7 linked regions of the Xenopus tropicalis genome follow. Each later gene encodes a partner of the first gene's protein in a complex. Links are inferred from orthologs where the notes say so. Each region holds a gene or a part of one and is shown on either strand. Other genes may lie near its edges. The genes, in order: dpf3, smarcd2, smarcc2, smarce1, arid1b, smarcd1 and actb.

Region 1 (3,500 bases):
ATATTTACAGTGGCTTGCAAAAGTATTCGCCCCCTTGAACTTTTCCACATTTTGTCACATTACAGCCACAAACATGAATCAATTTTATTGGAATTCCACGTGAAAGACCAATACAAAGTGGTGTACACGTGAGAAGTGGAACGAAAATCATACATGATTCCAAACATTTTTTACAAATAAATAACTGCAAAGTGGGGTGTGCGTAATTATTCAGCCCCCTGAGTCAATACTTTGTAGAACCACCTTTTGCTGCAATTCCAGCTGCCAGGCTTTTAGGGTATGTCTCTACCAGCTTTGCACATCTACAGACTGAAATCCTTGCTCATTCTTCTTTGCAAAACAGCTCCAGCTCAGTCAGATTAGATGGACAGCGTTTGTGAACAGCAGTTTTCAGATCTTGCCACAGATTCTCGATTGGATTTAGATCTGGACTTTGACTGGGCCATTCTAACACATGGATATGTTTTGTTTTAAACCATTCCATTGTTGCCCTGGCTTTATGTTTAGGGTCGTTGTCCTGCTGGAAAGTGAACCTCCGCCCCAGTCTCAAGTCTTTTGCAGACTCCAAGAGGTTTTCTTCCAAGATTGCCCTGTATTTGGCTCCATCCATCTTCCCATCAACTCTGACCAGCTTCCCTGTCCCTGCTGAAGAGAAGCCCCCCCAGAGCATGATGCTGCCACCACCATATTTGACAGTGGGGATGGTGTGTTCAGAGTGATGTGCAGTGTTAGTTTTCCGCCACACATAGCGTTTTGCATTTTGGCCAAAAAGTTCCATCTTGGTCTCATCTGACCAGAGCACCTTCTTCCACATGTTTGCTGTGTCCCCCACATGGCTTGTGGCAAACTGCAAACGGGACTTCTTATGGTTTTCTGTTAACAATGGCTTTCTTCTTGCCACTCTTCCATAAAGGCCAACTTTGTGCAGTGCACGACAGATTCCCCCACCTGAGCTGTAGATCTCTGCAGCTTGTCCAGAGTCACCATGGGCCTCTTGGCTGCATTTCTGATCAGCGCTCTCCTTGTTTGGCCTGTGAGTTTAGGTGGACGGCCTTGTCTTGGTAGGTTTACAGTTGTGCCATACTCCTTCCATTTCTGAATGATCGGTGGAACAGTGCTCCGTGGGATGTTCAAGGCTTTGGAAATCTTTTTGTAGCCTAAGCCTGCTTTAAATTTCTCAATAACTTTATCCCTGACCTGTCTGGTGTGTTCTTTGGACTTCATGGTGTTATTGCTCCCAATATTCTCTTAGACAACCTCTGAGGCCGTCACAGAGCAGCTGTATTTGTACTGACATTAGATTACACACAGGGGCACTCTATTTAGTCATTAGCACTCATCAGGCAATGTCTATGGGCAACTGACTGCACTCAGACCAAAGGGGGCTGAATAATTACGCACACCCCACTTTGCAGTTATTTATTTGTGAAAAATGTTTGGAATCATGTATGATTTTCGTTCCACTTCACACATGTACACCACTTTGTATTGATCTTTCACGTGGAATTCCAATAAAATTGATTCATGTTTGTGGCTGTAATGTGACAAAATGTGGAAAAGTTCAAGGGGGCCGAATACTTTTGCAAGCCACTGTATATCTAATTAAAAGCTGCCATGTTGTCTCTGAAGGTTCTCAACAGGCAACAGTTACAGAGGAATCATCTATTTATCATTCCAGTGGCTATGGATACATAGAAAATGTATATTTTATGTAAACTTTAATTTCTATTCACATACAGTTCTGCACAATGGAAGAAAGGAATCAATATATTACTTTTCTTTTCTAATCCCGAGTCCAGGGTTCCTGAGTGGCTCTGGGGCACTGCCTCTGGTTCTTTCTCATACACAGAACGTACGGCAGAGTTATTCTATAGCATGGGAACCCTTCTTGGTGGCAAATGTTATTGTTAGTTGGGGTACAGTATTCTTCATACAGCTTCTAATGCATAAGGACTGTTTCTCTTGTTGCAGGCTTGGAGATCAGTTCTACAAAGATGCAATCGAACACTGCCGAAGCTACAACTCCCGCTTATGCGCCGAGCGCAGCGTCCGCCTTCCTTTCCTGGACTCCCAGACTGGTGTGGCTCAGAATAACTGTTACATATGGATGGAAAAGAGACACAGGGGGCCAGGTGAATTAAAAAACATTTAAAATGATGAAAACAATTAAGAAACGCGTTTCGCACACTAGGTGCTTCATCAGAGGAAGTCCTCTGATGAAGCACCTAGTGTGCGAAATGTGTTAAGAAGGAGAGTGGGTGCCATGGGGCATTGGGATGTACCTTTCCATTTGGTATAGTATGTTCTGTTTTTTGAATTTTGTGTTTAAATTCTGAGCCAATAAATGGTTGTGTATTTCACTGAATAATGTGTTTAATCAATGGTATGTTATTTCAGGACCTTTCAGTGAGATATATCTTAGGTTCTCTTTCTCATTTTTAATCATTTTCATTAAGTATAGAGAGCCATGAATAAATCTAACTCCTGTTTCATCTTAAAGGAGTGGTTCACCTTTGGGTTAACTTTTAGTTTGTTATAGAATGGCAAATATTTAGCAACTATTCAATTGGTCGTCATTTTTTATTTTTATCACTTTTTAATTATTTGCCTTCCAATTCTGACCAGCTGAATCTTCTACCAGCATTCAGATGGGGGTCACTGACCCCAGCAGCCAAAAACTATTGCTCTGTGAGTCTACAATTTTTTCTTCATTGCTAACTTTTATTACTTATCCTCTACTCATATTCCTATTTCTCTTATAAACCACTGCCAGGCTGCTAGGTTAATTGGACCCTAGCAACCAGATAACTGCTGCAATTCCAAACGATTAAAAAAAATCCGGGCCTGTCCAGGGCTGGAACTAGGGGTAGGCAGGAGAGGCACCTGCCTAGAGTGCAACACTGAGGGGGTGCCAGGCAGCAACCTCTCCTACCTACCCCAAGTCTTCGCTCCCTTATTGCCCCCACAGCTTATCATTGCACGGGGGGGCAATGGCCCCCCAAAGTCATTGTGAATAGGTACGGGCTTGGGCACACACATGGAGAGGAAAGAGGGTAGGGGGGAATGAGGTTGCAGGGGCAAGGTAGCTGACCAGATTGCCTAGGGCGCCTGGTGGGTTTGGCTTTCCCCTGACTGTACCCAAACCTCTCAAGCAAACACACAGTTTTTACCTTTTCATTTTCTGGTGCCACTGACCCTTCAGTACCAAAACCCATTGTATTCCAAACAGCTTATTTGTTGTGCAAATAGGGGTTTAAATGTTTGATACTATTTGTAAAAACTTTAATAAAGAGTATGAAGTGAACACACAATTTTACTATTGCATGTTACATTAATCCACATAAAACACCTTTTTTGGTGTCAGTGTCCCTTTCAATGTTTAACAAAACGCAGATTGAATTTAGGAACACGTGTTTAGGACCATAACTAGTGATGAGCAAAACTGTCTTGCCAAAAAATTGCAATGCATTGAAAACAAACACATTAGCATTATCTGCAAA
Region 2 (3,337 bases), on another chromosome or scaffold:
CTGACCATTAAAGGGGCGGTTAAATTGTAGTATGTTATAAAATGTCCTATTCAAAGCAACTTTGCAATTGGTCTTTATTATTTATTTTTATAGCATTCAATTATTTGCCTACTATTTTGCATTTTCCAGCTTTCAAATGGGGGTCACTGACCCCAGCAGCTAAAAAAAACTTTTAGCGCTATTGTTACTTTTTAATTTCTCTCTTTCTACTCAGTGCCAGCACCTCACTTCCTGGCTGCTAAGGTAAACAAGGCCCTAGCAACCAAATAGCTGATTAAATTCCATACTGAAGAGCTGCAGAGTAAAAAGCTAAATAACTGAAAAACCAAAAATAATAAGCCTATTGCAAATAGTCTCAGAATATCAATGTCTATGTCATAGTAAAAGTTAATTTAAAGGTAAACTACCCCCTTCAATATTATATTTCCATAATATTATGGAATAATATTTAATATAACAGGCAGGCACATGTCCGGACAACTGCAGTAGTAGACTGGAAGTAGTTTATGTTGTGTAAATGAACTATAGTTTATTATAAATCTCCCTAAAAATCATGTAACTAGCCTTACGCATTTTGTGCCTCCTGCTGGCAGTTCCGAATCCTTGTAGTTACTGGCTTTGTCACTAGGGGCATAGCAACGCTGTTCTCCTATTGGCTTGTAAGACTGGTAACTGATTGGTGAGCTGGTTCTGTTTTTATATAGATCATGACGGATACAATGGGCAACCCAGAGGAGGAGAGACACACTGAGTTCTATCAGCAGCCATGGGCACAGGAAGCTGTGGGAAGACACATCTTCTTTAAGGTGGGTACTTAGCTGCCCCCCCTGGTGGGTACAAGAGCTTGCTGGCATCTGTATAATCCAGATAACCTGTTCTCAATGTTCCTTTTGCAGGTGCAGCAACGGAGGCAAGAACTGGAGCAGGTTTTGGGGCTCCGTCTCACCTAATCCTAAGCCAGAACCAGTAACCTATACATTCCATATTGTTTGTGTCCTTTCCCCCTACCCTGTCTTTATCAACTCCACAAAGTCTTTAGGGAAGTTGTAATTTCTCAGGTACGACATTCCAATCAACTCCCTATGTTTTAAATCACTGCCCCGTTTCAAGATGCACCTTCCCTGTGCTCCAAAATTATATTCCAGACCCTTAAAGGTTAAGAAAAAATTAAGTGTCACCAACTGGTAAATTCCCTGCTTGGGCTGTACCATTTAGTGATGCCCTCTTTACATGCTGGGTTCAATTAAGACCTGTAGTCTTGGACATTTTGCATGAGAATTAGGCCTTTAATGGTTTTTGCATTGCAAGTGTGATCCAGAACTTGGGGCATTTGTCTAACCCAGCTTGCCAAGATGGCAGTGTCATCTGGTACAGCAGCACTGTAGGGATGCTGCCAATCGGAATCAACTGGTGACTGGTGTCAAGTGGGAAAAGCCCCCCTACATAATCAGTAGGTAATACAAATTTGACTTTCCTTGTCCTTGAACGCCTTGTGGCCTACATATGGTTGCATAGCAGGGGGCTGCCATATTGCTTGCGTCCAATAGTTCCCTTAAGTAGATCGGTATAAAATAAAGCACCACCACCAATAAATAGGCAGATAATCATATAAAGGATGTGGTACACTAGGGCCAAAGCTGCTCCGATACCCTACCTTCTTGCTCCATGCCATTTTATTAAATGAGAACTCAGGAATCCCCCTTCCCCAAACAGTCCCATTTAGGTGTGAGTGTAAGTCACTACTGGCATGGCTTCTACCAAACAGATATTCTTGTTCTTGTATGTTAACATGTTTATTTGCAAACACTATTTGCACTATATGTTATGAGGTGGGGGGGAGAGGTGACTGCTGTTTTTCTGCTTGGGGAGGGTAAAGAACTGCTTCAGCCAAAAGGAAAATGTAGGCATTGTTTTGGGTTCATGTATCCTTGTGCATGCTATATTATATTTAAAGAGACTTTGCACTAGTTAATATCACCAGCAGCGGCAGCGTGCCTTCTTTGACAAAGAGCATTACCTGGCATTCTGCTCAGTTAGTCTATAACCAGTCCTTTGTATATGGAATGACCCCCTTTGACAATAGGATAATGTCTGTGGGGACGGGGACGTGGGGTTGCTATGAATGTGATTCAGGGGTAGCCGGGTTGCAGCTAATAGCCATATGGTTTTATTTCCTCAGGGCAATTTTCCCATTTATCTATGCATAAAACCTAGTTTGGGACCAAATTCACATATTCTGTGCCACTAAGCGTGCATATCAGGGGGTTTTTAAAGGGCAAGTGACACCAATAAATGAAAATACACATTCATTCTACAAAAAGTAATTTGGGGGCAGACCCTGAATATGTATTTTCTAAGGCTACACTGAAGACAATAAACTTTAAAAAAACAAAATATGGAAGTAAATATTTCATTTACTGTTTGGTGTAGCTTGTCCTTTTAATGTGGAAGAGTGTGCGCTATATATGTTCTACAGTTTCTTAATGCTTGTTAAAATTTATTGTTGACAGATTGTATACCAGATATTGCCAAATTGTGTGTTGCAGCTGCTGCCGAACTACCCAGTATCTGACGCTGGTGAGGCGTTGGCTACAGTTCTGCAGCATCTAAAGAGTCACAGGCTACTTTAAAAAAAAAAAATCTGAAACGATCTTGCAAGTTATTTGGATGCCTGTGTGTCCCTGCCCCCTGCAATATGCATTTTAATCACACAAGCCATGATCATACCTATGCTGTTTACAGACATAGCGCTTGGGGAGCTGGGGCTGAATGTACTTCAACATTAAATGTTTTTGTTGGCACAAATGTTTCAATGTTTAATAAAAATAAGTTTTTTTTAAGTTTGTTTTTTTGTATTTATTTCACATGAGATAACATACACATATCCGTTACAAAACCAAAATCCCGCCGTACTAAATGCCCAATGGAATAGTCTAATTTATAGAGAAAGCGTGGTCTCCTAGAATAATAGGCTTCAGGGTGCTTCCATATTGTGGCTCCCAGCATTCCCTGTTAGCAAAAAAAAAACTGGAAAGCCAGGTGTTAAAGATCTTTAGATTACAGGAGTTTGTGTTGAGTTTTCTGATAATTTACTGCGAGCCTTGTTGGGAACGCTGGGTTTAATAATCAAAACAGGCTGACATTGCAGGGCTTCAGCTGGGAGCAGAGTGTAATGGGAACCGAAAAAAAAAATCACTTCCACAGCTTCTTAATGGACATGTTCTTCTCGCTGTCTTTCTGCATCACCTGGTACAAGAAAGATAAGAGATTCATGGTTAAAATGCAGCACTTTAAAGGGGTGAGATCCAAACCGGCTTTTGTACAGCATTTTATACTC
Region 3 (3,500 bases), on another chromosome or scaffold:
ATGGAGTAAAGCTTCATCTTCCAGGAGGCAGGACACTTGAGCAGCTAAGAAAAGGGGGGTGCCCTGCTAGTCAGGCTTTACCCCTCGTAATTCCTCTTTTGACCTCAGTTTTTCAAGTGTCCTGTCTACAGGAGGGTGTACTGTCAAATCTCTAGTGAGACCCATCGAGAGGATATCTGCAGATAAATAAACGGCTGGGCAGATGCTCTTTTAAATAGCAATGTTTTATTTAATGTATATTGGATTTTTAATTCTGCTCTCACAGGTTTATTGCCAGCCCTTTGTAAATCTGTGGTGTCCTAGAGGGGTTATCGTTTCCCCTGCACTTTGGGATTAAATGTATTAATGGATTCTCTGCTATATTTGGCAGGAAAAACATTTTACAGATGATAAGCAATGAATTTTTCACATGTATTTGTTTAGGAAGAAGATGAGACCTCATCTGGGATTAAAGGCGAGCAAATGAAAACATCCGATCTTCATGAGGACAATGTGACTGAACAAACACACCATATCATCATTCCTAGCTATGCTGCTTGGTTTGACTATAACAGGTAAAGTCTCCTCTTTGCTTTTAATAGCAATGGAACTATCCTCTGATAATCATTTTTCTTTTTTATTTGGTGAAAGGAACCTTGATTTATTGTGATGAATAAAGACAAGCAGCACATTTCACAGCACAAATAGATGATTTATGTATAACATTGTGTCCTTTATTTTACTGTTTCAACAACTCCATCTTTATTCATCATTACCTGAGATACAGGTGGGCTCTTAGGGCAATGGCACATCAGTGATCCAGGTATTTTGTAGCTTCCTGGGTCTCGATCCCCACTGACTTGAATGGCAGTGACCTGTATGTGCAAGTGCACTTGCTTCTCAGGCAGTTGTTGCTTGGAAGCAAAACAAGTCCATATACAGTATGCTTGCAGGGGAATCTCCATTTAAGTCTGTGGCTGTATCCCCTGCCTATGGAACTACAAATCACTCTGGCAATAAAACGCGAATAATTGCCCCTGTTCTGTTGCCCTTAATCGTGACTGCCAGCTGTAGAACTGGAGGTGTCAAGCTCATGACTCTCCTAGTATGTTTTTCTGGACAATTTGCACCAACACAGCCTCATGGGTTCTTTTTTTATTTTTACACAACCACATTTGGTTGAGCAAGAAACAGGGTTTTTGATGGTGGAGATAAAACATTTCTATTACATTTTATTTTTATTGATTACAGAGCAATTTAAAGTATGCTGATTTTAATCTTTGTCTCACTGTATACCTTTTATATTAAGCTTTTTAGAATACATGGCTAGAGCCTTCCTTAAGTGGGGGTTTGTTTGTTTTTGTCACCATTTTTGAATGGTAACAGACTGCTTTGCAATAAGTTAACATTATTGCTTTTATTGCATATTTATTTTAATCTCCCTTTCTCCTTCAGTGTGCATGCTATTGAACGTCGGGCATTACCAGAGTTCTTCAATGGCAAGAACAAGTCCAAAACACCAGAGATGTGAGTCTTACACAATATATGGTTATAGGTGTGGCTGATAAGAAGGCATGAAAAAGTTTAAGTGCTTGATTTTTCAGAAGTTAAACAGAAGGGAAAGGTTTAGAGTAGCAGGCCAATTCTCTATAAAATAGTTACAATAAAATATATATTTTGTTCATAGAAGAAAGTTATCTTTTAATTGGTTTAGAAGATAAATTGTTTAAAATTGGCCTTGTGTTCTTTTTCTGCTATTCAACTGCACAAGTCTTGCATAATGGAAAACTGCTTTATGTATTTATTATTTGGTAAACTAACCTTACATATACGTTACAGCACAGGATTCATTTGATGAGACTTTGTGCAAAGAATGTGTCACAGTCTCATAACCTTACATTTCACAAACCAACACAAATGACCCCTTCTGTTCTTTTTCCCTATTTTTCTAGATACCTTGCCTATAGAAACTTCATGATTGACACCTATAGACTAAACCCTCAGGAATACCTTACTTCTACAGCATGTCGTCGCAACTTGGCAGGGGATGTCTGTGCTATCATGAGGTGCGGGTGACATGGGAACGTCATCTCAGAGGATTAAAAGGCAATGATCATATGTAGTAGGGTTAGCAATGAATAGCTGTGCATACTAGAAAGTTTGGGAGCACATTATGATTTTGTATATATATTTTCTATATATGTTAGTGTTACACAGTTAATAATTATATTAAGAGGAGGATATAATTGTCCCAGCTCTGTTGTTCTTCTTGCTTTAGGGTTCATGCCTTCCTAGAACAGTGGGGGCTCATTAACTACCAAGTGGATGCTGAGAGTCGTCCTACTCCAATGGGCCCTCCTCCAACATCACATTTCCATGTCTTAGCTGATACTCCATCAGGACTGGTTCCACTGCAGCCTAAAACACCACAGGTAGGCATGACAAGGCTTTTTAGACGAGTCATTTTATGGTTTCACCTCCCTTTTATATATTCAGTGCACATGTTTTCATTACCTGTACTACATAGCTCCAAACGGCTTTTTTTTGTCTTTGGCCTATTTCATTATGATAATTTTTCCATGTCACCAGCTTTTCTATAGTTCACTTTTAAGGTGGTGTCACCCACGGCTGTTTTTCTTCTGTCAGAGAAATGCCTGAATCGCACGTTTCTCTTTGGTTATCAATATACTCTGCATCTGACATGAAATGGAATGTCTCATTTTCTTCTTTCTAGCAGAGCTCTGCTTCACAACAGATGCTCAATTTCCCTGATAAAAGTAAGGATAAACCAAGTGACCTTCAGAATTTCGGCTTACGGACAGATATGTATAGTAAGAAGAACACAACATCCAAGGTAAATCAAAACAGTGTATTTCAAAGTTTTCTTTAGTCTTTAAAATTTGTAATTTTAGGTAATACTTCTTGTTACACTTAGTGTTTAGTAATATGTGGATTTTTTTTTTTTACTTGAACAGAGTAAGGCTGCTGCCAGTGCAACACGCGAATGGACTGAGCAGGAGACGCTGTTGCTACTTGAGGTGTGAAATCTGGATATGCTTCACTGAATAAATGATTTGGCACTTAGAATTTAGTTAGATATTTTGAAAATGTATGCCAATTACCTATGCCTACCTAACACAGGCTCTGGAAATGTATAAAGATGATTGGAACAAAGTATCTGAGCATGTGGGGAGCCGCACACAGGACGAGTGTATCCTGCATTTCTTACGACTTCCCATTGAGGATCCATATCTAGAGGACTCTGAGGCCTCTCTGGGACCACTGGCCTATCAGCCCATACCCTTTAGCCAATCGGGGAATCCTGTGATGAGCACAGTAGCCTTCCTTGCATCTGTAGTAGATCCTCGGGTAGCATCAGCTGCAGCAAAATCAGCTTTGGGTTTGTTACTTTTATTTTTATTTGTTGGTACAGTCTTTGCTGTATTCAGGGGCATTTTGGCCCCTAGTGCCCCAGAAATGTTGGGAATATTAATAACCTTTAAAAGACTTTGTAATGTTTC
Region 4 (3,500 bases), on another chromosome or scaffold:
TTACTCTGCACGATTCATTAAGTACAACCTGATCTTTTAAGCTTAAACGTGGTTGGGAAAGGCCACTAGTCAATATGGCACTCTTACAATTAATATTGGTAGTGTATTTTACAGCTGCAGAAATGAAGTGCTCACACCAACCTACTGTACTGATTTTCTGTCAGGCCAGGTTATATTAAAATGATATCGAAGAAATCTAGGCAGCCTCTGAGCAGGCTGTAGGCCCAAGCCCCCAGCCAGGCCTGTATATGTACAAATTCATTGTGGTTCCTTAAAGGAGAAGGAAAGGCTAGTAAAGAGTTAATCTCAAGCCGCAGGCATACCTTCAGTTGTCTCAATGGTGCCCTTAAGTCTCCCCATATTTCACCTGTTCAGATGATCAGAAGCCAAACAGGAAGAAAAAATGCTGAGCTGTGTAAAGAAAGTTCCCATAATGCCTCACTCCTCACTCCTTCACCGAGACCAAGTGTACATGCTCAGTTAGATTATGAGGAAGCTTCCTGCTGATTGGCTCAGATCCACATTCCTTGGGGGGGGGGTGAGCTCTTAGCATTCTTGAGGGAGGGGGAAGCAGGAGAGAGGAGAAAGCAGAGAGCTGCATGTCTCTGGCACATGAATTACAGACACAAGAAGTCAGTGCAGCGTTTCTGTGAGTGCTTATGGCTGCATTTACATAGACCTTTCTGATAAAGCTTACTGAGTTTTTACCTTTCCTTCTCCTTTAAAGTCTGACACCAATAAATTTGATTAAATTTCCTTTTAACCCTCGGAATATTGTACATTCACCTTTGAAGGTCCCAGCTGCTTTTACATGCCATACGCTTATCACATTCATTTGTGTTCTATTTATTTTATCTCCAGAATTTATTTATTTTTTAATATAGAATTTTTCCCACTAGTTTGAGCTCATTTCTCATTTGTGTTTTTTGTCTCATTTGTTTCCATCAGCAAATGCCCAGCACACCAGGGTTTGTGGGATACAATCCATACAGCCATCTTGCCTACAACAACTACAGGCTGGGAGGGAACGCAGGCAGCAACAGCAGGGTAACGGTAGGAGAATGAACAGATACGTCACTCTTGGCGTTTCTGCACAGCTAAAGCTGGTGTTTGGGGGGGTGATATTTAACCCAGTAGTGGCTATTTGTGCCTAAAAAATGAATGCATTGCATTTATCCATGTTTGCACAGTATTTTCACTTTGTAGATTATACTAACATAAGATTGTTCTGAAGTTAAAGGTTATGTTGCCTAGGGGCTGTAAATAATCATATTGCATGAATGTTTATTACATTTAAACTTAAGGTCTATGCATTGAATGCCATTGCCCTTCACTCCAGCCCCAGCTAATTGCTGTACTGGTTTGTAAAGGAGCTGGTTACCTCTGATTAGCTGTGCATTTTAGTTTTTGGCTTTCTGGCAGGGTTAATTCCTGCTGTGCCTTAAGGGCACCTACAAATAATTTTGTGAGCCATATTTACTGGGGTTGGTGATTTACATGCTGTTCACAAGCCTTAAGTTTTAGGCTAATGCCAGACGAGGCGTAGGGCGGATATTTTCTGCAAGCGGAAAAACGATTTCCGAAAATTCTGCCCTACGCCTCCTACATGTGCCTGCACCCGAATGAATGGAATACACTCAGGTGCAGGAAATACACATAAAAACGCAAGAGTTTGAAAGTCTCGTGTTTTTATTCATATTTCGGCTACATGTGCCTGCACCCGAGCGTATTCCATTCATTCGGGTGCAGGCACATGTAGGAGGAGTAGTGTGGTATTTTCGGCAAGTGCTTTTCTGCTTGCCGAAAATATCTGCCCTGCGCCTCGTCTGGCATTAGCCTTACTCAGTAGGGCAATACTTACATAGGCATTTTATAGCTGGTAGCCAGCACTTCATGTTAAGGGCCACCTTCTTACCTATATTTCACCAAATTTGGAGCATGCTAGTAAGTCTGGTAATGTGTGCACTTTCCGTAGTGCCATCATGTTTGGGCACATTGTCATTATTTTGGGGGATATAGAGAATTACCCTGCATGCACACTGGCAGAGTTTCAAACAAATTGACTATGCTAGCCTCTAAATTTGCCATTATCCTATGAGTCGGTTCAACTGGTTTTTGCTTCTGGCCATTAATAGGATCCGCAATGCAACCTTGAGGCTACAGGCCTTGATTTATATGTACAGAATTATGTTATGAAGAATCAAAGGGGTCTCTGCATCCTACCATAATTACTATCTGCACAGTTCAGCCTCTGACAAGCCATCTGTTTATTTTCAGTGAAAGACATGTATTTATATAGCGCCGGCAAGCTACATAGCTCTGTACATTAATTAAGATCTAAATCTGGAGTGTGAAAGTTTTACTCATTTTGTATATTTTTTTTTTTTTTTTTGGATTTTAATCCAGGACATTTGCGCTGTGAAGCATCAGTGCTAATGGTGTGGGGTTTTTTTCCGTAAAAGGCCTGTGACAGACGGGGAGATTAGTCACCGTGGGACAAATCTCCCTGAAATGCCATCCCACCGGCTAGGGGTGGGATGGCAAACGCGGTGCCGAAATCGGCAAAGTTTCCTATCAAGGCAATTTTGGCAAAACGCCATGCCGCATTACCCATGCCACCGGCGATTTACATTCTAGCTGGTGGGATGGCATTTCAGGGAGATTAGTCACCCGCGACAAGGGAGATTTGTTGCACGGCGACTGATCTCCCCGTCTGTTACAGGACTATTTACCGTTTCATTAGACATGATTCAGGCTTTTATTTTTAAAAGAAAAAAGCGCACAACAGTTATATGAACTTTAGACAGACATACCTGATTCCACAGATTGAAAAGGAACCATGATAGTCTGTCTCAGTGCTCTTTAAGACCAATAGCCCCCTCAGTGTGTAAATACCTCCCTCACCATGTTCCATTATGAAGTGATGAATTCTGAGACTTGAGTCCCTCTACTTCCTAGAGATATTTCTTCATCACCCACTATAAAAGCTACATAAAGTCCCAGAATCTCATCACTTTACAGTAGAAGGTAAGGGGGGGGGTTGTATTACACTGTGAGCCTATGGAAGATTGGGAAATTCTTCATTAGAGAAACATGGATTCCTTTTAGGAATAATGTGGCCATTAGACTGCTATACATTTACTGTAGGTATCTATCAGTTCAGCTATGGGGCAGGTTTGAACATTTCATCTGGGAGTGGCAGTGGTCGACACATGTATGGCCACGTTAAGACTATTTCTTTAATTCTGCATTATATGTATTATTTACATTGTGCAAGAAGCTCTCAAGTTGTATTGTATGACTTGTATTTTTTGGTTTGGAAGCTAAAGGGGATCCAGTTATGGATTTCTCTAGCAAAGGCAATGCTGTTGCCGTATATTTACTGCGGTGTTTTGTCCGTGACATGAATTATTCAAATTGCATTGTGGGAATTGTGGAATTTTACAGGAGAGTCTGAGAAAATAGATCCCCCATGATTGAAAGGCAACACCACTGTTTAT
Region 5 (3,500 bases), on another chromosome or scaffold:
TTTTTAAGATCAAATAACCACTTACTACATAATGACACATTTAATGTGGAGGATTACCAGTATATAAAAATCTAATTAAGTCATGTTGTTTACAAAGCCTATAAAGAAATCTCAGTGTTGTCAGAGCTTAGTGTGCTTATATATGATGGTTCAAAAAAGTTTCCTGGGTCTGCATAAGCAAACATTCTTACCCAGAGCCATGTACAGTTTTTTTTTTATAATTACCTAAGTAATGAATTAAAGAAAAAGGAAATGTAATGTATTATCACCCATATATTGTGCACAGCAGCCCCCCAACCTATGACCTGAGTCAGTAAATGTAATTTTTCCTGCTCTGGTACTGATACATTCTTCTAATCTAATGCTGTTGGTCTGGGAATGCAATGTTCCACTATCTTTCCTGTACTGGTGTGATGGAGGCTGCTGTCTGGACTGCTCATGTGCACCTTAGGAGTGCCTTGTAATGTGCTGAGCATGTCTGTAGCTATGTTCGCTCCAGATAGCTCAGTTCCCTCCCTGAACTGACCTACTAGAGTTTTTCAGACTCTGGCAGCCCATTGGCCTTTCTTGGCAATCTGAAATACATCTTCTAATGTCTTCTTTTACAGCGCTTATAAATGATTTGGGGTGATATCATTCCATAATGTTGCAGAACTGAACAATACTGCAGCATTACCGTATGTTGTTTAGAAAATGTCCAACTTTCTCTACAGACGTGAGACATTTCCAGCCTTTGATTATCTAATTTTCTAAACTGTTTTGCTCCATTTTTCTACTTTAAACTTTCCCACAAGCTGCAGCCTGAAGGAAGAAATCTGACCACACCACCAGAAGAATCTTCTTTTTAAGTGGAGACTTTTAACATTACAGTTTTTCAGAGTTCAATTTGTATCTTGCAAGGTTAATTATTTACTGTAGTAAAAGCACACCTTACCACACAGGATTAAATGAGGAGCTAGTAGTCAGTGATGCAATAGCTTTTTTTTTATAGACAACATTCCAGATTCTTACTTGCTGTACCTTGCTTTTATTATTTTGACCAACTTTACCTAATTTCATAAAAGCACCTGTTTTTTTTAAAGAAATCTTGATATGCTTAATCAGTTGATAGATGATTTTGTATTTGCTTTAAGATTTGTATTCTTTGTTATTTGTTTCTTTATTATGTGGGCAAAGGAATATCTTTACTTTCTGAAAAATATCATCTCAATTTCCTTATTCTTGCATAAAAGTGATCCAGTTACCTAGTCCTGCAGCCTTTACTTACAGGCACCCTCATGCTGTTGATTTGACCCAAAAGATAATCTGATATTTTATCTGTATATCACAACCATCTTTTTTGTGTCTTTCTTATGTTATATATAATTTACATTAAGCACCACAAAGCTTTGCTTGCAAAGGCAAACTTGATAAAATAACGTTTGTACTGTCTGTAGTTATATAAGGTATGCACAGGGTTTTCTGAAGCTATGTAAAACAATTGACCATATGGCATCCATGTAGAACCATTGATGATGATAATTAATTAAATTTTAAAAACAAGAATTGTATAGACAGTGCCAATAACCCTTTCAAACACCATGAATTGCACTTGTAATGAAAATGAAGGTCGTGGTTCAGAAAATTTATAGACCAATTTTTAATGTAATAGGTGAAATATGAATTCATTAACCAGTCTGAGAAACGCCATATTAAGGTGTGTGCCTAGATATTCGTATTAAGTTATCTGCGACTATGTTAATATTCTGTCCCTCTTTTGTATGCTGCAGAAAGCAAGTTCTTCAACAACCACTGGAGAAAAAATCACAAAACTTTATGAATTAGGAAATGAGCCAGAGAGGAAGATGTGGGTGGATCGGTACTTGACCTTCATGGAGGAACGAGGCACTCCTGTTGCAAATCTGCCTGCAGTTGGAAAAAAACCTCTTGACCTTGTCAGGCTGTACTTTTGTGTTAAAGAGATTGGCGGTTTAGCTCAGGTAATACAACTTAATTGATGATTATTGTAATGGCATAATGCTTTGTCTGCCACTTACAGGTATGTGAATTTACCAGTTTCTTAAATCATGGAACAAACTGAATAGGAGAATCACTTGAGGTGTATTAAAATGGTCCACTTAATTTAAACGCCTGTTTTCCAGCTTGTGAGGAATATTTTTTTTCAGAAATATGTATCAACTACATATAGAATACATGAACATAAATATACAAATGTGCACATTCATAATTTACATCACCAATTGCTCATGTGGTTACGCAAAAAGAATACTAGCATCCTACTTTTATAGCATTTTTCTACAATTTACCACGGTTATTGCTGTAAACTCTATGGCACTGTTATTAAGTAATTAATTGTAAGAATTCAGATTCATTTCATATGAGTCTACATTTGGCAGGGGTATTGCTGAGTTGAGAATCTTACCTTAGGCAGTAATGCCCTGCAGGTTTCCAGGGGACACAAAAAAACAGCTCTTCTAGTACAGAGCGGCTCAGGGACCAGAATCACTCTGTTGGCAAACATAAGGGATAATAAAAGTTGTTAACCAAAAAATAATTTGCATAAATAAGAAAAATCCTCATTCCACAATGTAATAAACTTCATTAGACCTCTATTACATTGTGGGATAAATATAAAGGCCTACTTACAGGCAGTGTATCCTTGGTGCAAACAAAATAATCACAATAATTCCCAGGTTCACAAAAGCTATAGTAAATTTGTGCAAAGAAAAAATTTATTTACGCAAAGGAATAATTATTCACGTTGAGAATAATTTCACGTTAATGACATTCCCCATGTCTTCATTTCTGAAAATACTACTGTACCTGCTCTTGTGGCATCCATTTAAATATACTTGTATTCATTTTTACACCGCTAGGTGCTTCACATACATCACGATACTCCAAAATGAATTATTTTACATTATCTCATAATCCCTGAAAAAAAGAAAAAAAAATCAGTGGCTTTGCTGAGAAATTCCCCTGGGTGTCTGTATGAAGTGTTAACCCAGTCATAAGCAGCACAGCAGATCGTTTCCACTACAGAGACATCGGCATCCTGGCACATACACCCTTGGAGCTTTCTGAAAATAAACATATTTTCTTTCCGCATTTACAGCTCCCACAATAATACTAAATTGTGGAATAACACAGTTGCTCTTATTTTTATTGTTTTTTAAATGAGTTCTTAGCAGCAAGGCCTGTTTTAATTGAATCAGGAGCGCGTGAGCGTTTCCATGCTCTTGTACTTTACTGGGATGCAAATTGCTGGCTCCATGCATGTCTCTAATGTAAAGTGCTCAGCATTAGGGGATGCAGCATTCACAAGCCTCAGATGCCTTTTTTTATATTTATTTATTTATTTGCTATCAGCAGGTTCTTTAATAGCTTTATAACTGCAAGTGTGCGGCAGTGCGCCCCCTGAGTGGGAGTAATGAGCGTTAGTTAAAAGAGGCATATTAAGAAAATATAGGGAGATAAACCACAGAATAACCTATATGCTT
Region 6 (4,005 bases), on another chromosome or scaffold:
TGTCTTTTGCCATGGCACCAAAAACAATCCTCAAGATTTAATGCAGGCTAAATCATTGACTTTTGGGCTTCAAAACACTTGAGACTTTCTAATAATAACACTAAAATGGTCACTGTGCAAGCTTGCATGAGTAACAGTAGCTATTACAAGGCACATTGCACTAAATTAAACATGAGAGACACATAATTAGTGCAAGAGCTTTCAGTGCCATATGGGGGGTGTTATAGACAATGTGCACAGACTTGATGGCTCTGAAGTTGGCATTTTATTTGTTCAGTTTCTTATCTAGCATTAATGACTTTGGGCCACTGAGATACAGAGGAACAGGCGGGGATGCTCTCCATAATATACATAATGTTCTAGCTCCATAATATACATAATGTTCTAGCTCCATAATATACACAATGTTCTAGCTCCATAATATACATAATGTTCTAGCTCCATAATATACATAATGTTCTAGCTCCATAATATACATAATGTTCTAGCTCCATAATATACCCAATGTTCTAGCTTGGCCCAAAATGGTTCTGGGCATAAAAAGTGGCACCAAAATGCCATTAGTTTCTTATTCATCCAATAAATAAATAGCTAGTGTATTAAAGGATTAAATGACTTTGGCCCACTGATTTCAAAACATAAATGCATAGAGAGAGATGCCCTGCATAATATCCATCCAATCCCAGCCCGAAGCATTCCTGGCCTTATTAATGTCGTGTTCCCATCTTCCCGCTACAAACAGGCCACTTATTGAATACACAAGCGGCAGGTTGGAAGCATGACTGCACACAAACCCTTGGCCAATTCATCCAACTATTATAACGCCCCGCACAAACTTACAGTTCTTTATAAATACATACGAAACAACCCCATTGCCCGCCTTTTTATTGACTCAATATAAGCGCAATGTAGAGCGAAACGGCGCCATCTTTAAGTGTGGAAAAATAATAGCTGACAGTTTCAAAAGCGCATAGAGAAAACCCGCAAGTGCCCGCCAAACCAATCCCTGTCATATTGCTATTTACCATAATCTAAAATGGCCGCTTCAGGCACGGAGACCTTCCACCGCCTCACATACCATAGAAACACAGTTGTTGCCACACCTAAAATGGCGGCTGAGAGTTTCCGCTTTTTCACTCATGCCGGCTTACTAACTCCACACTAGGAGCCTCTGCCACCTTCTGTGACACGGTACTTCCGGTTCCGGCCCCATTGTTGCAAAGCGATGGCGGCGCGGGCTGGATTCCAATCAGTGACCCCGGGGGGGTCCGGTTCAGCTACGGCTGCTCTGGGTCCCGGTACCCCTGGCCCAGCGGTAAGAATGGGCCCTGCCCCTGGGCAGGGGATGTACCGCTCTCCAATGCCTGGAGCTGCTTACCCGGTAAGAGAATGTGATGTGGGATGTAGCGTCTCAGGAGGCCATCATTAAGGGGAGGGGGAGATAACGGAGTGTGAGCTAGCCATGGGGGCCAGTAGCCGCCTTCCTGCAGCTGGATGCAGTTCTGGCAGCGCGCTATATTAAGTGCGGTAGCCTATAGGTAGGGGGGCCCGCAAGTTGGACATCCCTGGCCCATCACTTTATTCCTTGGCGGACTGAGATGTAATGGGGGAGGGGTACTGATACCTACTGGGCGCCCAGTCCTGCAGCATCCCGGTCACTTCTACAGAACTCCTACTCTAACCAAAACTCTTTCTTTGCTTATTAAAAAGAAAATATAATTCTAAACAACTTTAAAATATAAAATACATTTCCTGTGGTTTTATATATATATACTTGGAAATGTCAGTCCGATCAGAAGCAGCATGTGTATTCTGGACAGTGTATTGGGGGCCAACCTGTTAGCTGATCTGTTAGAGAACTGACTTTTGAGAACAGAAAGGGATAAACATGCACTTTTCACAGCAAATATTACAATTATACATTATATTAAAACCACTGAATTGTTAATGTATGTATGTTGGAAAGTTGCTCAGAATAACATTTTCTTTCATTATGGCAGACAGTCTGAAAGGCTTTTTCATATATAAGGCCTGACAAATTTTTGTAGCCAAAGTGTTGGGCTCACTTATTCTAATCATTTATTTCAAAGTCAGTCACTGTTTTTGGTTTGTGCTGTCACCCCCCCACATAAGGTTAGGGCCACATAAATTTGTAGGGATCGGCTCAACTGGGTACTGCTAGGGGTGCTCCTTGCTGCGCATCTCTGGTCTGCCCACTCCTGATGTTTCCCTGCAGCATAGGATGCACAGAGTTGTGGAGATGGCAGCACAGTCCATGACTAAAGGGTTTTAGGGTTACCAATGGTTTCCAGTCCGTTGGTCCAGAGATTCCCTTTAAAGGGAACTTGTCACCCAGGCATAAAAAAAGCTGTATTATAAAAGTCATTTTCAAATTAACCATGAAATCCAAATTACTTTTTTTTTTTTTTTTTTTTTAACACATCCATATGCATTTCAAAGCTATGTAGAAATCTCAGCTGTCAATTATATATTGACTTCCCTATCCCTATGCGTTATTCATAGAGGCAGGCCAGATAATTACTTTCACTTTCCATCGAGCAGTCACTTTTCCCCCTCACTAATTGTGTAGCCAGGGCATGGGCATCAGGTCTCCTGTTGTGGCACATAAGGCAAGTTTTGTATAATGCCAAAATCTTGTTTAATAACCGTGCCCACAAAATGGCGCCTGCCTGCTTGCTTGCTGTGATTGTGAATTCCAAGACTGATGGACACAAGATTTACATAATTTATATAAAGTTTATTTTGCTTGACAAACACAATATAAAACAATTTGGAATTATTTCCTAGGGTAACAGGGCCCCTTGTGGGAGGAAAAAAATTAAAATGTATCATATAGTGTTGCTCCAATAGTACAGGTATAGGATCAAAATGTAGGTATTCAACTGCACAGCCTTACTGCTTCCGGACTCGATGCATCAATCCCCAATGACTCCTGCTTGCCTCTTTGCTATAGAACCTGTCATCCAGAATGCTTGAACCCCAGGAGTTTCTGGATACGTGCTCTTTTTTTCATACCTTAAGTCTACTAAATAATTTTTAAATATGCACCCCGTAGGATTGTTTTGCCTCCAATAAGGATTAATTCTATCTTAATTAGGATCTAGTACAAGGTACTGTTTTATTTCAGAGAAAAATAAATATACAAATTGTGAATTATTTGATTAAAATGTACTCTATGGGCGATGGCCTTCCTGTAATTTAAAATTTTCTGGATAATGGGTCTCCGGATAATGGATTGCATACTTGTACTACGTTTACATGCTGTTTGTATTATATTTAGCTATGTTCTCTTACTGACATTTGGGGTCAAGTGCTGTCTGTCGCTCTATGAATATATAACATTTGGGATTGCTGTTCTGATCACTCACGTTATATGGAGGTTGTAAATTGTTGATTTTTTGTTCTGTTAAAACTGTGTACTGTAATGTTTGTCCGTGTAACTTTTAACACATTACAGTATGGTGTATTTATTGTAGCAAATACACCATACTCAAAGCCTGGTGCTGCCTTATTGCTTGTTAAAAAAACCCAGAGTTATGGTGACCATGCACGGGCAGATTTAAGCCGCTGGGTCCTTCAGACCGGATTTGGCAGTTTATCTGCCATGTATGTTGACCCCCGGCCATGTATGTTGACCAGTATGTCAATACATAATAGCTAGAAGTTAACTTCTTCCTTTTCAGCTGTCCACCCTGTTAAAAGCCAGTGACTTGAGGGCAAACATAGTATGGGACATAACTGTTTTCTTTTGAACCTCACCTGCGTGCTAAGGATAAAAAGCAGACTAAGTGAACATTGGCCTTTCCACCAGCAACTCCTATTGTTGTCGGTGGAAAGACATTTCAGAGTGGTTAGACACCTGCAATAACAGAGATCTATTGCGGGAGACTGAACCACTCCATGGGACATCAGTCAAGAGATTAGAGAGCTGAAAGGGGGAAGTCGTGTTCTGTCTATTATGTTAGACATCCACTTACTCCACTC
Region 7 (4,107 bases), on another chromosome or scaffold:
CCCTAGCTTTTGTGAAACCACAACTGTGAAGGGATCCTATCTAGCTGAGGTAAAGGACAGTCTATAGACCACTACAGTTGTAGGACTTTTGGCTTCAGGGTAGGGGATAAATAGGACTCCCCTAGACCTGATGAAGAGGGCCTAAGACACCTGCCCCTTCAGGCCTCCTCGCTGGGGGGGCATTCATTCTTTCCATTTTAAAGGAGGGTCTAAATTTGCTGACCCTTGCATTCTTTTGTTTTTTTTTTGCACCTGGGTGAAAAAGCATGTTCTTCAGGCTTCAAAAAACATATGAGTGAGATTGGCAGGGAAGGTCATAGTCATAGTAAACTTAGACTTTGCTGATAAACTTGGTCTTTGCTGATATGAGGGTTGGTTACTTGGGGAGCTCACATTCCAGTTACTGCATGGGGCTCCAAATGTTTTACTTTAGATTAGTTTAGATTTTTTTTCCTTACATACGTTGCATTTTATTCTCAGGGGGACGGATGATCTTCGACAGTATCAGCTTAACCAATAAATACGTTTATGAGTACCAGAGGTCATTGTAGAGCTGTAAACTGTAAAGTTAAATAACAAATGGTTGACCTGCATAGGAAATGGAAGTATGGACAAAGAGCAGTATCGCTGACTCAGAGCAGGGAAGGCGATTTAAAAGTGTTTATATAAGGAAATATGTGCTATAATGATACTTTTCTTTCCCTTACAACACAGCCATACATGAAGAAATAACTAGGCACTATCACAATATGCTGGCGCTAGAGACAAGAAGTGCAATCGAGTCACTGTATTCATGGATTGTACGCAACACAATGCAGTGCGTCACTGTAACGTTACAAAGCTTACTGTCTCGGCAGGCTGCAGAAATCCTAACGAACTGCATTTGGTCCTGACATTTCTGCAGACATAAACGTGCAGACTATCTGCTTTGCAAAGCCATGTTTTAAGAGAGTAAATCATTTCAGGCCAATAAAGAATATAAAAAGAAAGAGTTCTGCACCGCGCCCTTTATTATACAGCAATTAATGGAAAGGATAAGGCGTGGTATATCTAAGTGTAGATTTAATGAAACATATATATGTATATTGATATCTATGTATGTACGTATCTGTGTATATACGTATCCGCATCCTAGCTAGTAGGTGTAACTGCCTCACTCTACGCGCCCCCTTCGCCCGCAGTTCCTACAGCCAATCAGCTTCCCAGTTCCTGGAACGCTCCTTATATGGTGCAGCCGGCTGGGGCGCGCAGCATAAAACCGGCGCCCTAGCCCGACAACTGCTCAGTGACCCGCCCGCACAGAAACAGGACAGTGTGTGTGTCGTACTCTCAGGCAAGTAGCGCCGAGCCTGCTATTGTTGTGCTTTTCCTCTGCTATTTCCTGCTTCTATTCGCCTATTTTTCTCTATATATTATTAGAATAAGCATGATTTGGTTCTAATTGGCTATGTTTTTCATAATGTGCTTGAAATAGTTGGTAGCTTAATGTAGCGTTATTTACTTGAAGGTAAGACTTGTTAGTAGACAAGCGTGAAGCCTGGTTCTGGAATTGTGCTAAAGTTCAGTTCCTTATATGCTTAATTAGATCTTAATTGATAAAGGACACTGGAAGTTGTAGGTTGTACATACTGGAGAGCTGGGGAACCATTTTTCTGTTACAGCAGGTTTAACTTGTAAGTTGCATTTAAAAATAGGGTTTTGTTTTTTTTTTGTATCGTTTCCTCTTCTGTAAACTGAGCCCCCAATAGCAGCGCCGCTTGGGGATGTGCGATTGGGCGGTTCCCTGCCGATGTTAGTGTGAGGCTGCACACAAAGCTACATATTGTGTATAAGTGTGTGATGCAATCTGTGTCGGAACAGCCTTTTGCTGTCTAAAATATATTGGCGGTAGTTCTCTCCCGCTTCGGTTTAGACTTTCCATATGCATGTATATCCGTAACTAGAATACAAAAGCGCAAGTTACATCTTATATATTTATTTTGTCCTTGCACTGGTAAAAACGGAGTCACACCTGCAGTATGTGATTCTGTCCTGTAGTGTTGCCTTCATGAAACATTGGGAGTGGTAGTCGGTTGGTTCGATTGCCTAATACCAGCAGTGACTTGTTTCTTTGCCACACCTTCACTATCCATGGCTGGATGGGAGGGGTGCTTGTGTAAATCTTTGCTGTTGCCTTATTTGGTAATACAGAAAATAAATCGATTTCCCTTTGTCTAAATCTGTACAGAAATGGTGCAAACCCCTGCGCCCTCTTGTGACAGACCTTATGAAATGCAAGTAATGGGCAGGAAGCGTCCTTGTGGTATATACCAGCGCTCATAATTTGGGTGGATAATTATCTCAATTTTATTTATTTTTTAAATTTCAGATTACAATGGACGACGATATTGCTGCACTGGTCGTTGACAATGGTTCTGGTATGTGCAAAGCCGGCTTTGCAGGTGATGATGCACCCCGTGCTGTTTTCCCATCCATTGTTGGTCGCCCAAGACATCAGGTATGCCCTTTTCATGCCTTTTTCATTTCATGTCTAAATAAAACCTAGAAATAAAACTAGTAAAGCACCTCTAACAAATCAGTGTGTTGTCCCAAGGAGGTAAAACATTTTTTTTTTTTTTTTATGTATTTAACTGTTAAAGGTGAAACTAATCTGGGGGCAAATAAAACTGCAATTCTGCATGGGTTATAGGTATGTTGGTAACAATATATTTGCCATTGAGTGTTTTTAAACCATACACGTAAGGATAGTTTCCAAAAAGTGTTGCATAAGATGATGCAATTTTTTTTATTTTTTTTTTTTTTTTTACTCTTTCAAATAAACACTGCAGGCAGGAATAATCACATAAATAGCTGTGCCTAGGGCACCCCCCAACTCTTGTGCCCTAGGCTTGTGTCGGTTATTCCTTTAAGCTGGTTTTGGGCACTTCTCGGCAAGGCTGAAACTAGGAGTAGGCATATTTAAAATAAACTCTTTATACTGTCCACACAAACCCTGTTTATTGACTTATGCTGTGTAAGTGCTAAAGCCAGTTACATTTTCCAACCCTGCATGAAAAGAATTTCTTTTCAGAGTGTAATGTGGTTTAATTTAAATGGAAAAATATTTTAATTAAGTGCAGGTTAAGTGTGTGTATATAGATATTTAATATGATATATATATTGTACTTTGCACACTACATTTCCATATTCTTTGCAAATTGCCTACTTCTGTTTATTTGTGAAATACACAGGGGCGTGGTTAACATAGCAAATGTTCTTGCATACTCTTGTTTCCTGTAAGCACAAGATGACAGGAAGTATTACGAAATTAGAGGGCCCTGCCCAAAAGAGCTTTTACTCTAGAATTTCCTCTTAAAGTCTGCATTATGTGAGGTCCATGAAAATCCACTTTATTCATTCCATTGTCTGGCTAGTATTGAATTAAGGCATGCTTTTCATTTACTAAATTACTTAATTTAGTCCAAATTGTCTTACGCTTTATTTTAGGGTGTCATGGTTGGAATGGGACAGAAAGATAGCTACGTAGGAGACGAAGCTCAAAGCAAAAGAGGTATTCTTACACTCAAATATCCTATTGAGCATGGCATTGTCACTAACTGGGATGATATGGAGAAGATCTGGCATCATACCTTCTACAATGAACTCAGAGTGGCCCCAGAGGAACACCCAGTGCTGCTGACAGAAGCACCCTTGAATCCCAAAGCTAACCGGGAGAAAATGACGCAGGTATGTTACCTGTTTTCTGGTGTGAGGGTTTGGGTTGTGGGTTTTGTTTTGTGTTTTTTGTTTTTTAATTATATAATTGCTATTCCTTACAGGGCTGTCCTGGCCTCAAAGTTTACTGGAATCTCAAAGGTTTTTTTTCAGTATTTGCCTGTTTTACATCAAGGGTAGAATACTAACAATGTTAGCGTTGTGTGAAAAGTGCTGAATGATGGCTTGTTTTTCAAAGTTCACTTTGCTTGTGTTTTTCCTCACATTGGCCCTGCCTAAATTTGTGTTGTGTGCAGCAAAATCAAATGCTGTTCTGAAACTACACATGCATGAGTTTTGGATGCCTTTATGCAGGTAATGTGCTAATTGCCTTTTCAACCATTACAGATCATG

The links.
Region 2: dpf3 (region 1) and smarcd2 share a complex: the UniProt entries of both Homo sapiens proteins name them as parts of the BAF complex. The link is inferred for Xenopus tropicalis from reciprocal best matches to the Homo sapiens genes DPF3 and SMARCD2.
Region 3: dpf3 (region 1) and smarcc2 share a complex: the UniProt entries of both Homo sapiens proteins name them as parts of the BAF complex. The link is inferred for Xenopus tropicalis from reciprocal best matches to the Homo sapiens genes DPF3 and SMARCC2.
Region 4: dpf3 (region 1) and smarce1 share a complex: the UniProt entries of both Homo sapiens proteins name them as parts of the BAF complex. The link is inferred for Xenopus tropicalis from reciprocal best matches to the Homo sapiens genes DPF3 and SMARCE1.
Region 5: dpf3 (region 1) and arid1b share a complex: the UniProt entries of both Homo sapiens proteins name them as parts of the neuron-specific chromatin remodeling complex. The link is inferred for Xenopus tropicalis from reciprocal best matches to the Homo sapiens genes DPF3 and ARID1B.
Region 6: dpf3 (region 1) and smarcd1 share a complex: the UniProt entries of both Homo sapiens proteins name them as parts of the BAF complex. The link is inferred for Xenopus tropicalis from reciprocal best matches to the Homo sapiens genes DPF3 and SMARCD1.
Region 7: dpf3 (region 1) and actb share a complex: the UniProt entries of both Homo sapiens proteins name them as parts of the BAF complex. The link is inferred for Xenopus tropicalis from reciprocal best matches to the Homo sapiens genes DPF3 and ACTB.

Annotation. Positions count from the first base shown.
Region 1 is NC_030684.2:106,429,046-106,432,545, forward strand, and holds part of dpf3 (zinc finger protein DPF3), read left to right. Parts: intron 1-1,971; coding exon 1,972-2,132; intron 2,133-3,500. UniProt on the Homo sapiens protein: Belongs to the neuron-specific chromatin remodeling complex (nBAF complex).
Region 2 is NC_030686.2:15,729,376-15,732,712, reverse strand, and holds the end of smarcd2 (SWI/SNF-related matrix-associated actin-dependent regulator of chromatin subfamily D member 2), read left to right. Parts: intron 1-704; coding exon 705-806; intron 807-896; coding exon 897-950; 3' UTR 951-2,837; downstream 2,838-3,337. Other genes in the region: psmc5 (26S protease regulatory subunit 8), read right to left, coding at 3,193-3,246. UniProt on the Homo sapiens protein: Involved in transcriptional activation and repression of select genes by chromatin remodeling (alteration of DNA-nucleosome topology).
Region 3 is NC_030678.2:137,495,662-137,499,161, forward strand, and holds part of smarcc2 (SWI/SNF complex subunit SMARCC2), read left to right. Parts: intron 1-423; coding exon 424-554; intron 555-1,434; coding exon 1,435-1,506; intron 1,507-1,931; coding exon 1,932-2,045; intron 2,046-2,257; coding exon 2,258-2,411; intron 2,412-2,713; coding exon 2,714-2,833; intron 2,834-2,954; coding exon 2,955-3,017; intron 3,018-3,120; coding exon 3,121-3,379; intron 3,380-3,500. UniProt on the Homo sapiens protein: Involved in transcriptional activation and repression of select genes by chromatin remodeling (alteration of DNA-nucleosome topology).
Region 4 is NC_030686.2:8,337,395-8,340,894, forward strand, and holds part of smarce1 (SWI/SNF-related matrix-associated actin-dependent regulator of chromatin subfamily E member 1), read left to right. Parts: intron 1-948; coding exon 949-1,053; intron 1,054-3,500. UniProt on the Homo sapiens protein: Involved in transcriptional activation and repression of select genes by chromatin remodeling (alteration of DNA-nucleosome topology).
Region 5 is NC_030681.2:52,286,617-52,290,116, forward strand, and holds part of arid1b (AT-rich interactive domain-containing protein 1B), read left to right. Parts: intron 1-1,769; coding exon 1,770-1,979; intron 1,980-3,500. UniProt on the Homo sapiens protein: Involved in transcriptional activation and repression of select genes by chromatin remodeling (alteration of DNA-nucleosome topology).
Region 6 is NC_030678.2:148,800,767-148,804,771, forward strand, and holds the start of smarcd1 (SWI/SNF-related matrix-associated actin-dependent regulator of chromatin subfamily D member 1), read left to right. Parts: upstream 1-1,205; 5' UTR 1,206-1,225; coding exon 1,226-1,381; intron 1,382-4,005. UniProt on the Homo sapiens protein: Involved in transcriptional activation and repression of select genes by chromatin remodeling (alteration of DNA-nucleosome topology).
Region 7 is NC_030685.2:46,572,744-46,576,850, reverse strand, and holds the start of actb (actin, cytoplasmic 1), read left to right. Parts: upstream 1-1,307; 5' UTR 1,308-1,333; intron 1,334-2,368; 5' UTR 2,369-2,374; coding exon 2,375-2,497; intron 2,498-3,486; coding exon 3,487-3,726; intron 3,727-4,101; coding exon 4,102-4,107. UniProt on the Homo sapiens protein: Actin is a highly conserved protein that polymerizes to produce filaments that form cross-linked networks in the cytoplasm of cells.